Linked DNA regions of Drosophila melanogaster. The gene in region 1 interacts genetically with each later gene. Each region holds a gene or a part of one and is shown on either strand. Other genes may lie near its edges.

Region 1 (7,540 bases):
GCTGAAGTTCGTTAACAACAGCCTCAAGGCAAGAGGGATTCAATATCAGCAAGAGCATTTGAAGCGGCCAAACAAGAGTCTTGCTTTTCTTGTTTTCGGTTTTAAAGTACTCTACAAAGTCCATCAGGGGTTCCCAGCAGCTAAACGAAACAGGATCAATTAATGTGACTTTAAAAACGCTTGTAATTCCTCTTACGTTGATATATCTCGATTGGTTCCTCGTTGCAAGTCCTGGAACTCTTGTGGATGGTACTCGATCCAGTTCCAAATAGCCTTCTCCAGCGAGTAAAGCAAGATCAAAGGTGGAGCACGCTTCGATCGAAACTTTGTGATGGTTTCTGGAAACGTAAAACGTTGTTTAACCTTTCCGAAATATTAAAAAAGTTAGTTTACCTTGTAGCAGCTTGGTTAGCTTTATCATATCCATATCGATGTGTTGAATTAATTCTATGTCGTTGTAGTCCGGGTTTTCCTCGGAACAGGATGTCAGCTCTTGAATCCTGGCCGATATGCGATTGAACACCGCCGAGAAGTGATTCTGGGACAAGGCAAAGAGCACCTTGGATGCCAGGGCCTTGAGCTGGGCGGCATTCGGATTGCTGTCGCTCTGGACGTCGACAAACTGGGAGATCTCGCGCAGCAGAAGCTTCACATTCATGGCCTCTTCAAAACGTGCTGTGTCCTTGGTCTGGTTGGTCAGACAGCGTTCCAGAGTGGTCAGTATGATGACCAGCGACTCAAAGTAGCAACGCTCTGGCTCATGGCGATTTTGAAGGGCCTGCAATGAAATTTTTGTTTAAGTAATTTAATCGTATCCTAGCCCCATAAAATAAGGCAACATAGTTTAAGGGTTAACAATAGAGAATGGAGTACTTACCGCCTCATTGACCCTCTGCAGCATCTTGGTGAGACCGGATATGACAAGGGAGAAGCGGTAGCGCGATATGTGGATCAGACAGGCCACCAATTGGTCCTGGCTCATCCTGGCCTGCGTGCCATAGGCACCGATTCTGTTTGGCAGCTGAAAAAGTAAACCATTGATTGCTCAATTCCACTTCATTCATGCGGGAACCGGTGTTTTTGTTATTGTTGCTATCTCGCTCTCCCACGCATTTGATTGAGAGCTCACACTGACAGAGCGGGTGAGGCACGCACACTCGCAAGGTCGCTGTGAGCATGTGTGGGGGAGGAAGAGGCAGAGCAGCAGGTACATTTTTTCGCTTGCGAAAACGCAACTGCGGAAAAGCGATTGGAAAACACTTGCCTGATCCTCGAAACGTGCCAAAAGGGCGCTAGCCCACTCGCCTGGCTTCTGGGTCATCTTGTTGTGGTGTTTTAACAGTTGTTTATGCGTTTTTTACTGCATTTCAGCAACTAAATAGGGCAGCTTTTCGTTGAGCTTGGGGAGTGGCAATTGGTTGAGTGGCATCTTTGTTCGTTATCCTTGGTGTTTTTTTCAGTTCCTGAGACGTTCACTTCCTTCTCTTCCAACAATTTGGATGGTTTGGCTTTACAAAACGGGCACTGTTTCTTTTTTTATGGGAATTTTCTAAGGGCTTACAGGCTGTTATTTGGATGTTTATATTGTGTGTGTACCGCCTTCCATTTCTTTCACAATACCGAAACGCTTTTATAAGTGATAACAATTACATCCTATCGATATATCGCTTATTTTCAAATAGTGATGGCATCAGACCAACTAGTACTGAATTCATTAGGGTGACCATAAGCCACAAGTAAATGCGCGCGCTCACAGGAGCGTTTAAAAATTCCAAAAATATTTGGCCTTCATTTCGTTCTATCTCATTTGATGCTATTATTTTATATGGTCTAAGTGTTCCAATTAGAAATATAAATGATTTTTAAAACAGATTCAGTTCAGTAAGTATTATTAGTTTATTTAATGTTGTTGTTAATGCATTACAAATTATCAATATTAAATATTTCAGATGGTTTTGTAGCTTGGGTTTTGAGTTAATTCCGTTTGAGTGTGCCTGTTTGGCTCTGTGCAAATTATACATATTTTCCAGCAATACTTAATGTTTATAATGTTTCAGCATTTCGAGCAGTAATAGGTTCAAATCGAGTTCTATCTGTTGTAATTTAGTGTTGCGTCCAACGTTAGTTAATATTTATTCAATTGTTCTATTATTTTACGGTATAAAGTTAGTTTAGCTAGCTAAAAAACACATGTACAGTCGCATATAGGTATATATATGTATATATTTGGTTTTATTGAAAATGTTTGCGTTATTTTTCAAATAACCCTTCTTAAGCTGACAAAAATTTGAGTTTAGGCATAGGCTTATGTTACAATCGTCTTATTGGCCGTTTTTGGGAAGTGAGTTGGGTACTTTATCCAATCAATTAAAGTAAATAAAAAAGTGCTTTAAAAAGGTGAAAAATTTATATATGTGGAAAATTGTGAGCTTGCGGAAAGAGTTTCTTAAACTGTTTTGTGTATATATTTTTGATTTTACTTTGCATTCGATATATGTACGGTTTTCTCATAGATTTAAATGCAGTTATTGATATTTTTAGAGGGTTCTATTAACTTTGCAGTTTTAAGGAGTGTATACATGCACGTACATAGTTGCTATATTACTTTGTTCTAGCTGCTTAACTGGTATCTTGATTTTCTCTTGTATAAGTGGTATATGTTGGCTGCAATGGACGTTTGATGATTATTCGCTTCGAAATTATAGCATAAAGTGCTTGAAACTTAGTCTGCAGATAGCGCAAGATACAAACAGATGATCGTTGTAAATAGAATATGCTCGTATAACTAGTAAGATTTGTATTTAGCTTGCGTTGTTTCGTTATCGCATTCGATTCGATTGGTTTCGTTCTTACAGCTAAGTTTTCCTTTGAAATTGGATTTCAATGCAGTGCAATCCTGCGTTCGCGTCCTTGAGCAGGCCTGCTAACAATAAATTAGTGCTGGATAGCAGGACGGGCCTTCCCCGCCCCGCACCGCCAGCCGACTAGAGTAATAGACTAAATTTAACAATTCCTTTGGGGGCATCAGATCAGAGACTACAGCTAGGAAATGGGCATTTGTTTTAGATCAGGGATTCAAACGGGTAAACGGGTACGCCTTGAAAAAATCAAAAAAGCTGCTTGGATTTTGAATGTCCTAAAAAGATATTCAAGTGTTTTTGTAGAGCAACTTAAAATGTATTAGATGCGTATAAAAAAATGTAATTCAAAGTAATTTAACGTATATCCTTTAAATATTTGGTATACATGCTTCGGTCCCAGTAATAGCAAATAAACTTAAGTTTCGTTTCGAATCCCCGTTTGAGAGTTGGGTGCTTAGATGGTCCACACCTGAACCTTCTCGGCCACCACACACCAGCTGGCCCGCTCGTAGTAGGAGCTAACGATGTGCAGGCTGGCCACATGGTGGTTGATCAGTGCGTCCAGCTCGCCCTCGCGGAACACATGGTAGTAGCGGTGGTGTGTGCTGGCTCCGCCCTGGGAGGGGCTGTCCAGGGAGTTGGTGGAGCTGTTCGAGTGCTCCAGGGAATCGTTGGAGGGACGCTGCTGGAGATTCGGTGCCTGGTTTGGCTCCTTCTGAGGTTGCTGCTGCTGCTGCTGGGTCGTCGGTGGTTGGACCTTCAGGGCAGCCATGTTGCGCCTGCGCTGGCCATAGTCCGACATGCCTTCGCCCAACTGATCACCGCCTCGGGCCTCCAGAGCCTCTGCCTCTGCATCCTCATCCTGTTCCTCCTGCTCCTCCTCCTCTGGTATGACATCGTCTTCATCCTCGCGCACATCACTATCCCCATCGTCCTGCAGCAGGTAGGCTGTCTCCGGATTCAGCTGATAGTGTCGATTCCTCTTGTAGTTGAACTTGGAGATCTTGCAGTGCTCATAAACGCCCAGGGAGTAGCTGGACTCGTTCTCCTCCTCCTCCTCTTCCTCACCATCCTCTTCCTGGATGGTGAAGCTGCGGGTTTGGGAGGATAGTGATGAGGTCGATGAGCTCACCGGGGATTGCTGCAGACTTGGCTGCGTGGAGAGGTTAGCAAGCATCAAGCGACGTTCCCTGAGCTCATCCCGGAAAGCACTCAGATCACCATTAGAGCGCTTCTTACCGCCACCCAAGATCTCGGACAGATCGCCCATTCCGATCCCATCCAGATACCGGCACTCAGTTCGATTTGTTTTGTCATCCAGTTCCCGCTGCAGTTGGGCACTCAGCTGTTCCGCGAATTCTGCGCAGTCCTGCTTTTGAACGGCCTCCCTCTTTTCGGGGAGGAGAGGGGCACTATCTGCATTCAGGATTATATCATCTTCGGCATGGGAGCGAGAACTATTGATCTGAAGCTCCCCTTTATGGTACTGCTCCTGCTGCAGACTGATGAGCTGCGCCAAGCTGGGTTCTCCTTCGTCCTGCGAGGCCGAATTGGAGTTCGCGGAGGCGGCTTCTCCTTCCTCACTTCCCGAGGGTACTTTGGCCGATCTTGGTGCACTTATAACGCTGTCTATGGAATCAGGGGAGGAGGGCTCACTGGAATCGCTGTCCAGATCATCGGTGGCTGGATTAAAGAGCTCCAGGGAGAGCAGCTTGGTAGCCAGCGATGTGGTGGATGCTGAAGTAGACACGCCCGATCCCGAAGCTCGCCTAACGATGGGAAAGCTCTGACGTTGTAGCTGTAGAGATTGCTGTTTCCGGAATTTCGGAATGGGTGGCAGATCTCTAATGGCCTGGCGGGTGATTCTACGTACAGGTGGCGATTCCTTCAGTGGTTCCTTTGGCAGCACCTTCAACGGCTCCTTTTTCTCCTTGGGTAGCTCCTTTTGCAGATCAACGTGCTGTTCCTTTTGCAGCTTGATGTGGGCCTCATCGAAGCTGAAACGAGCGGGTTTCGAGGGTGGCGTCAAGATGGCCATGGCAGCGGAAACGGCCGATGTGGATTGAGGCGGAGAAGTCACCGTGCCCTGGATGGCAGCCGGGGAATGAGCCGGAGTGGGAGGGCAGGGCATGATGAGCGGCGACGTTGGCACTGAGTGAGTAGGCGGCAATCGGGAGCCGGGATTCACCCCCTGATCCCGACCAGCAGCTCCCTGCGCCCTTTGTCCATTGCTGGAGGATGAATTGCTCGAGCTGGAGTTAGAGTTCTGGTGTTGCTGCTGGTAGTTCAACTGCTGCTGGTGCTGCTCCGGCTTGGGTATGAATATGACCGAAGCGAAGCTGTCCTCGGACTCAATACTTGTGTCCGATTGCAGGCTGCTGTCCTTGGAGGAGTCGGAACCGGATTCCCGGGAATGCCTTCTAGCCTTGTCACCCTGACCGCCATCCGCACAGGCGGGACACTCTTGCTGGTACTGGCTGCAGTGACAGAGATTGCTCATGGTGCACTCCACACTGCTGCAGTACGTCACAGGTGCCGAAGTCGAGGATGCGGGCAGAATTAAGTGCGACAGGTGATGAACAGGATGGTGGTGGTGGTGATGGTGGTGTTGATGAGCCGTCGCCGCCACTCCCTGCTTATTGTTATTATTCAGCGTGGCGTTTTTATCCAGTTGAACTGGATGCTGGGCAGGATTCGTCTGCGCCTGCGGTCCACTCTTGATGTTTTGGATCAGTTTACTTATGCCCGTCTTTGTCACCCTTTCTAGGCTGCCTGTCGAGCTCTTGATTTTGGTGGTGAAACCCTCACGGATTACCTGCAATCTTTTGGAGAACAGAGCTGATCTGCAGAGGAATGCTTCATTTAGCGAGGTTTGCTTTTGAATACGCTTGCGCACCCTCTCCTTTTCTCTCAATCGATTGCAGGCCATCAGATCCTCGTTAAGGGAACTTTGTTTGCGCAGGAACGTCGGCCCACCAGTGGGTCCGCCAGTTACTCCTCCTTCACCAGAATCACCCGAAGGAGGCGTGGCCGTCGCTGAGGCATGCTGATGGAAATTCCCGGCATAGCAGCCACTCTTTGTGTACAAACTGCTGCTTACCACGCCATTGGAGCCATTCAGGCTACTTACCACCTGAAAGGATTCGGGGGCGGGTGGAGTGGCAGCGTCATCATCGCACAAGGACTGCTTCTGCTTGATGAGCTTTGGTCTTCTGCTCAACGTATTCCCAGCACTTGCCGTGGTGGTGGGTGAATGTCTTCCATTCAGTTGGAGTTGCAGCTGAAGCTGCTGACTCTCCGGATTATTGAGTAGCAGAGCCGCGGCACTGGCTTTAGATTCACCAGGAATCAGAGGACCACCCAGACTGGGAACACTGGAGCGTGAGCGGACAATCTGGCGGGGTGGTGGCTGCAGAATGCTACCCAAACTGCGTGATTTGAGGCCGGCTGATAATGGCGGATCGGGAAAATCCTCAAAGTCCTCCAGGCGACGCAGCTCGATGGGCAGATCCTTGGCATCTTCGTAGTCCAAGCTGCTGTCGTTCTTGGTATCCTTTGACGACCACGAGTCCATGAACCACGCATGCCGGCGTCCACGGGCTAGTTTCTATGGTTTAAGAACATAATAATAATTACAAAATTATCAATTATGAGCGACAGAATCTTTGGTTTACCTGAATGGCCCGGCGAACAAAGCTGTAACAGGATTCCCCCGGCGAAGACGAACTAAGACTTGAGCTATCGCCATCTCCGGCCGATCGACTGGAATTCGTAGAGTCCTCGGTGTAGGCATGGTAAGGCGGCTGGAAATTGTCGTCGTCCTCCTCATCCGAGTAGGAGTAGTTTCGATTCTTTGGTGGCTGCCAGGGTATCAGCACATCCTGCGACTCGAAGCGTCGATGTCGTTGTTCCAGCGCCCACACGGTGATCACAACCCGACCACCGATCCTTAGGATCCTAGCCAATTCCCTGAGTGCCTGGACACGTCGCTCGGTAGTGGCAAAGTGGTGCACCACCGCCAGCGACAACACCGCATCGAAACTGTCGTCCCGGAAAGGCAGTTCCAGATTGTCGCACAGTGCCACCTGGAAAACATAACAATAAGGAGGTTTTCATTAACGCACATTATTCTTTGATATTAGCATTATTGGCATATTTAGTTTTCTCATGATTTTAATAATTTGATTGATTTTTGCGGACATAATGATTTCCCCAGGTGGTAGCCCAACACCACGAAACCAGCGATCCCCAGGGAAGCCATGCCAATTAAGCTGTGTCAAAGATAAGTCCTCGCAGGAGTCTCTTTGTGGGGTCAGAGCTGCCGACATCGTGCTCTTGTCGTTGAAATCGAGTCCTTGCCAGAAACCTCCCACGGGTGCTGCCCGCAAAAGTATGCTATTGAAATAGTGTAAGCTGCAGTAAGCAAAAGGAGATGATGCAATTTCAAGCTCCGGACAGGACCATCAATCGCCTTTGAGAAAGTTGAGCATTCAGGATAGATGGCAAGAAATAGAAAATTTCCATTTCAAAGCGATGCAACCTGATTGAATAATCCACAAGCAGTATCCCTTTCGGTTGGCTACATCATTTGGCAATTAGTAACTTTTCCTCGCTGGAAAAACAAAGTTATCTATGTGGGCGGCTGATTGCAAGTTGGCTTCGACCATTTGTCATTCAAA
Region 2 (7,540 bases), on another chromosome or scaffold:
AACAGAATGCCATCGCGTGCTCCCTCCAAGGTAACGGCACGGATCAGCAGGACGAAGAGCACCACGTAGGGGAACAGGGCCAGGAAGTAGGCCGCCTTGCCGGAACTCTTCACCCCTCGCATGATCACCAGAAAGATGACCACCCAGGCGACGAACAGGGCAAGTGTCAGCTTCCAATCGGGATCACCAACGCCGTCCGAGATGTCCAGCTTCTCCTTGATCACTACATTCCTGCAAGTGATTTTCGATTTGAAATTGAAATGACTTAATTCTCGCTAATTTGCATGCGGCAAAACAAAATCAAATAAATAATGACAACGTTACAACTTTTTGCTAACTTTTTGCTACTGTGCGTCGAAAAAGTGCTAATGAAAACAGCTAGCTAAGTGAATACAAATCAATTAGGGAGCGCAAATAATTCAATTTGTTTTTGTCAATTCCGTTTAGTAGCGTAATAAGTTCTGTGTTACTGGTTTTACTTACAGGAAATAGAGTTCGGAGCTGCTCTGGAGTTTCTCTGTCTCATCGTTGGCCACAATGCCGCTGAGATTTCTGGCCGATTCATTGGCCAAGGATACGCCCGTAAGCAGATTGTCCACATACTCCTGCGGCCTCGAGTTCACGCAATTGGTCCACTCATCGCGACAGTAGGACCACGGCAATTCCGATTGGAAGGACACAAAGAGATAGTAGAGGGTCAGCGCCAACAGCGAGGAATAGTACGAGATGATGCAGATGGTGCCGAAGGCCTGGCCATAGCCCACGCCCACAAATCCCGGCACCACCGACCAAATCTTCACCGTTCCCTGGCTCGTGAACTGGCCCATGATCATCTCCAAATAGTACATGGGTTTGCCTGGAAAACCAAAAGTTTAGTATAACCAGTGATGGACGATGCCATGCATCGCACCGATCAGAAAGAGCACTATGATGTAGGGTATAAGGAAGGCGCCTCCTCCATTCTCATAGGCCGTGAACGGGAACCTCCAGACGTTGCCCAATCCCACGGACACCGATATGCAGGACATTAGAAACTCCAGGCCATTGCCCCAATTGGTGCGCTCCGCCGTCGGCTTCTCGGCATCTGTTTTCTGCAATGGAGCGGAATTTCCAATCTTGATGAGCAAATATGCGTGATATCGCAATTCGGGGAATATAAGATTTAATGCCAACAGCAAAATACCAGACACATGTCCAAATATTTGTGCATCCATCCAAGCCACGAGTCTGGGACTCATGGGCAAACACGATCGCGTCATGCGTGCGGCATTTCCAAATCCAATTGCAGATAACTACAATGGACATGTGAAACTAATGCGCCACAACCATAATTTGGAATATTTATCTTAGTGCGCCCAATTACGATTAGATTAGAATCACTTTGAAGTACACACTTAAGAAAGGCGCCCAGCTTATCGATCCCGCCATTAAGTAAGTAAGTAATTCAAGTACTATTCATGTGCAATGCAAACTATTCACCGATCGAGAATGAATCATATCGATAGCAAATTGAATATCTTTCAATGCGTTTTTAAATTGATTTAATATAGTCATTGCGGCTTTTTCCCGTGATTACCTCAGCTAAATTCAATTAATACTCGATTAAGGGAAAAGCAAAACTTAACTGCTGCACAACTTGGAAAAGTTCCCCGGCAAAATGCCTAATGGACTGGAATGGATTCTCATTCATAACGATTTACATTCAGGGAATGCATGCATGTCTTATCTTCAAATCAAGCTATAAAATTGTTTAAATAAATTAGTATGTTAATTATATAATTAATTCTAGTTGATGACTGAGTCACAATTTCAATGCCTAAATTGAAAAATTTCAACACAAATTACTTTCGTTCGTGAAAACATCTGTCGTTGATAATTGTAACGTGGGCAAATAAAAAAAAGGCACTTATTTTCAAGAATAGAAACGCCATAAAATGTTAAGATGTTTTTGGTTTTTCTTCTAATTTCAATTAAAAGGGCAGAAACAGTTGGGCAAATGAACAGATGATGTAGTTGTTGTTAAAATTCCCAAAAATTAATTTACATTACACTACTGCGTTCGAAAATTACTATTATTATTTGTAATAATATGATTGCCATTTGGCGAAATCTATTTCCATCTATTTGCACGACAGCCACAATTGTTTTTGTATTTTTTTTTTTGTTTTTTATCAGAGGGCTGACAACGCGGTAACTGTTTTGCCGCTTACATATTTGCTCATTCGGGGAAAAAGCTGTTTAAATAAAACAATAACTCAGCTGGCCGAGTGGGCGGGCAATTACGAACGAAGTTAAATGGCAAAGAAACTGCATCATCATAGATACATAGATATGTATCCGCCAGTACGGTATCTATGAAATAGCCGAAACCCATGTGTGTTTGCTTATCCCATTTTATCTGCAAAGCCAAAGGCTCTCATTACCTTTCCATTAAGAAATTTATATATATAGTATCTATATCTATACATAAATATCTACCAGCTGGCTGTTGAACCTCAAACAAACTCGCATAATTGTGGGGTTTTTTTTTCTGCGTGCTGGGAAAAATTCTATCTTGGGAATCGCCTTAATTGCATTTGCCATCAATAAAACCTATGCTGACCGCACTTTAATGAGGCTTTGTTTTGGTCTGTCAATGTCACTCTGTGCGGGGGGATAACCCTGTAATTTAAATCAACTATAAGTATAAATCTTAACGATCTGTGCAGCATCTGCATTTTGCATGCAAACAGGCTGAGTTCTAAGGGGAATTACCTATAACCATATTATAGATATATATTCATATATATGTATATATTTATAGAAACTAAAGTTTTTAATCACCCGCAAGAACCAATTCTATATATCTTCGTATCTTTGTAACTTTTTTTTTTTACAATACTTTCTCGGAAATGCTGTAATATATAATAGAGGGCTGCAAAGTGAACCTGTCACTCCACCGAGCACTCGCCTATATATATTATAGCTTCGTCATATGTTTATGGCTGCTGCAGTGAAAACTGGTTTCCAGCTCTTCGGCCATATAGCGAGTATAGTACAGTATAGTACGGTATAGTACGGTATAGTACACTATAGCCTATTATAGTATAGCTTTCGCTGATCTCGAGCCGTACGCTAAGTTATGGCCAGATAACTAACGTTTTCGGTTCATTCTTCGGCTGAAAATAGCTCTAAGATACATTTATGTGTCGCTGGGTATCGTAAAGCGTATAAGATATGCATGGAGTAACCGGCTGACAAAGTCTTTCACCCCACATTGGGGTGGACCGTAAATCGCATATTCGTTTGTCGGTCGATTGGCCTGCAATTAAGGTCTAACAGCCTTAATGATCATAAAGTCATTTGGCGATTGTAAAGCCAGAAACACTGAGCGAATTGCAAGGACGGTTGTGAAGAAGGGCCAATCAAAGCATAATTTCGGGGTAAAAGTCCATTGAAGTTTTATAAAGTTTATTGCATGGGAAATGTTTCTTCACAGTGTACATTGTGAAACTTTCATGCACCACACGGCGTATACTTAATGTTCCAACTGTTGAACACTGCCTTCTTCTAATCTGAATCGCTGGCCACTTGAGTTCTTCAAGTGCCACTCGAAAGCAATTCCATTAGGGATACTATTAATTGCCTGATTTCATGGTCTAACACTTACTTCCGTTGATGCAGCATTGGTGGCTCCATTTCCACTTCCATTTGAGCTGCCATTCGATGGCTGAACTCCTTTCAATTCCATTTTTCTAGCCACTTGTTAATTTTCCCGGTTAATGAAAACAGTTGACGGCTACTCGCGTTTTGCTTATTTAATTACTAATTATTTATTTTTTTTTTTTTTGTTAATAGTAATTAGCACATTGCATTTGGCCAGCCCTTGGTTACGGTTGGTTGGGTTAGCGTCCAACTGCAGTTTCAGGGTTTAGTTTTCTGTAATATTTTCGTAATTTGGGCTGTGGATTTTGGCTACTTGGCGGTGCTGGAGGCGCGCTTGTGGTGCCGTGAATGCCGCGGCTGGAACTGAGAATATTGCGAGTGCCGGCCGCTTTAAGAACCGCCAAAGTCAAGCAGCGTTTTGCCAGCGCTCAGCAGGTAATAAGCGTGAAATTATTCACACACATATAGCCGTATAGCCGTGCTTTGTAGAGAAAATCAGCGGTAGTACCTGACTGGCTGGTACCTAAGTGCCCAGTACCTAGTACCCAGTACCCAGTACCCAGTACGCAGTACCCAATCCCCAATCCCCAGCCCCCCAGTGCTCGATTAGGAATGGGGAAAACAAACTTCGGTTGCTCTTCGTTGGGCGATCGTTGATGATATCGGAGATTCCAGCGCTCGGATAAGGAAGTATCCGCCGAGAAGCTGAAGACATCAGCACGGCGTTTACCCAAAAATATAGTCTGCACTCGAAGAGAAAATGCTGCAAGATGTTATAAAACGAGTAAATAAGTCATTGGGTAAATGTTTTCCATTTGTGAATTATCTACCAGCGCTCCATTCAAATTACCCAATGCGATAAGCTGGGAATTCCACGTTACTTGATGAGCTGCCGCTGGATAAATTTATGAAGTGATCTTTTTCTCTGCGTGTAGGTAAGGAAATCCCGAACGTGAGCTCTTTTTTGCTGATTAACTCACGAAGATCGTTGATAGAACATAGAGAGCAGATACGGCGATAGGGGAACATAGATATAACTATATATGGGGATGCCAGGATCTTATCAACCCAAATCGATCATTGCGGCCAACATAGGCGGGGTCCACTGTACGACGCGGTGAGTGAAACACTTGGTACTTCGATAAAAACCGGCAGGCCAAAATGGTCAGCAGTAGTAAATAACTTCAGATAGACGGACCCGCCAGACCCAGACACAGTAAAAGCACTTTATGAACTTATCCGAACCGGCCGTGACTGGACATTTTCCACACTGATTAGGTGAAACCACCACGAAGTGACCAATCAATTGAAAAGGAAACGAAAACAGAACCGTAGACAAAACCAATTAGGAGTCGATAATCGCTGGGGTAATTAGGCTGGCTGGTACATATAGATTCGGAAGAATTCCACTCAATGGTCAATGAAAGTTTTACGATCCAAAGACCGCTTCTGACCAGTTTCACAGTTTCACAAGCAAATCTCTGGCCACCAACTCTGACGCAGAGTTCTCCACCTCCAGCTGCAAGTTCGATATCGCAATCGTTTTATATCCAAGAGATCGTCGTGCAGCCAACGAGCCAACCAGACGATCATCGAATAGTACATTAGTGCGGCAATCAAGGCTTTCTTTGATCGATTGCATGGAGGGAATCATGGGAATCGGATATTGGACATTATTGGGGGGATCGCAAACAATATGAAGCTAGCAACTTCCTTATCGCGGCCATCACGTCAATTCAGCTTTTCGGATAAGAACCTTACCCTGACACGGGTAAGTACATGAATTATAAAATTAGTTGGCACGTTTAGCCGGGCGGATCCATAAAAGTGGCGATATCACTTCCTGGGATAACGAACCACCCCCCCCCCCCCACAACGATCCAGATGAAACACCGTTTTTTTTACTTTTCAATAATATTTTATTTTAATGTACTTGCATTATATTTAGTTAATAACTAGATTTGTAAATTATTCTCACTTGAATGCGTCTATAAATTAAATCTTATTCGTAACTCTCGTCTCTCAGCATTACTAGATAAGAAAAAAAAATAGAAGTACCACACACTTACGATGATCTTTGAGGGAGGACTCTTCACTTCACGTCTCTTCTTCTCTTCTCGCTATCGACTAAGATTAGTTTCAATATGTGCTCTACATCATGTCTGTCGTGTTTGCATTATCTCTATGTCAGTTAATCAGTTATCAGTTAATCAGTTTATCAACAATTGTACAAGTGACAAATCTACAATGAATTCGATAGAACACCGAGAACGTTGACAACTCTGGTGCATGCAAAAATTGAAATCCTACTCCCTTCATCTAGTTGAATGCTTCATTTAAAAGTAACCAATAATATGTATTTAGTGTTCCATAGACTAAAATGTAGTTCGAATTTCCAAAGGCATTAAACGACATTATTAAAACGAGGAACCATTAAACGAATTTGCACTACAGTGTGTGGAGGGCAGCCCCTCCAAAAGTTGTTTTAGTTTAGGATAACAATTAGAATGAATTTGCTTTAATTATCAAGAAGGATCTAAAAACAAACAGCAAAAAAAGAGGTAATAATAATAATAGTTATAATAATAATAATAATAACGGTATAATGATAGCGTTAACTAGAATATTTGTAGACTACCGTTGAAGAAGAAAAAACACCTCCAAAGTCTTTCATGTTGACCAAATAGATGGATATTGTGTGGATCATCACTTGTACATTATATTATCTAAGTAATTTAATTATGACGATGACGACATGAGAACGATGACGACGACTTATTAAGCTGAATTGTGATTGAGCCTGAAATCTTTTTTTGAAACGATTTATAAATGTTTATATAGTAATTCCGTTGCTGCCGATCAATGTAAAATGTCAATGTAAAATACAATGAATGATACAGTGAAATAAAACTCTATTTTCAATCTCAACAAAATAAATATGATTAATTTCTTTGTTGATTTATTAGTGTGTGTTTGTGTGTTATATTGTGTTATCGATGTGTTGTTGATGCTGTTGTGGCTGTGCTACACTTAGAACAATTCTAGCTAATATTGCTGCTAGGCTAGACACCCAGAATTGGTAGCTTAAGCGATAAGTTTGCAACAATTCGCTTGCTTGCTTCTTCTTGTCGCTTCAAGAAGTTTCCTCTTCCATATACAAAAGAAGTTTGAAAGAAAGGCATTTTGAGGTTTTCACTCCTTCTTTTCAATAGGCTAGTTTTGGTAGCAACAATCATTGTTTCTCATTTGTTTTTGCATTTCTTTGTCTGTCGAAATGGATTTTATTTACAATGGGTTTGTTTTGGGGAAAAAGTAGCCATTTCTGTTTTTTTTTCTTTTTTTTTTGTTAATTATTGTGTTTGTTGTTTTGCTTGTTATGTTGGTTATGTTTAATGTTGGTTTGTTGTCTAACAATGGCACACACGCATATATAATTATGAAGAATTCGTAACGTCACTCTGTCTCTGCTTTTAAATGGTTTCTTTCTTTGTTAGGCATTCTGTGGCTTTAGTGCGGGTGTGAGTTATTTTTGGGTTGGGAATTTTGAATACATTTTCTGATTACAGTTTGAATACAAATTAACAAAAAAAAAAAAATGTATAATGCATGTAAATGTATGAACTCGTCGATTAGATATTATCAGTTGTTTAAAAAGGCCTAATATAATATTTACAGATCTCAGCAAATAGCAGCATAAAACTAAAGTTTTGTCAGGTTTTTCTCCATTCTTATCCAGAGTTTCTATGTTTCTGTGTTTCTGTTTTTCTGTATATCTGATGAACGCATGGTATTTTAGTTGGGTCTATTTAGTATGTTCTTTGTTTTTTTTTCGCATCTCGTTCTCGTTATAAAATCTATGTACATTATTTAGTAATGCCTACTTATAAACTGAGTA

What was found. A genetic interaction does not mean that the proteins touch.
Region 2: of Nf1 (region 1) and NAAT1, changing one suppresses a phenotype caused by changing the other (phenotypic suppression), as found in Drosophila melanogaster (one study listed by BioGRID).

Annotation. Positions count from the first base shown.
Region 1 is NT_033777.3:25,977,073-25,984,612, reverse strand, and holds the start of Nf1 (neurofibromin 1), read right to left. Parts: upstream 1,601-7,540; 5' UTR 1,322-1,600; coding exon 1,265-1,321; intron 1,022-1,264; coding exon 878-1,021; intron 779-877; coding exon 394-778; intron 339-393; coding exon 197-338; intron 141-196; coding exon 1-140. Other genes in the region: fid (fire dancer), read right to left, coding at 3,316-6,468, 6,536-6,946.
Region 2 is NC_004354.4:5,406,837-5,414,376, forward strand, and holds the start of NAAT1 (nutrient amino acid transporter 1), read right to left. Parts: upstream 4,014-7,540; 5' UTR 3,731-4,013; coding exon 3,650-3,730; intron 1,092-3,649; coding exon 911-1,091; intron 857-910; coding exon 484-856; intron 232-483; coding exon 1-231. UniProt on the Drosophila melanogaster protein: Unusual broad substrate spectrum amino acid:sodium cotransporter that promotes absorption of the D isomers of essential amino acids. Neutral amino acids are the preferred substrates, especially methionine and phenylalanine.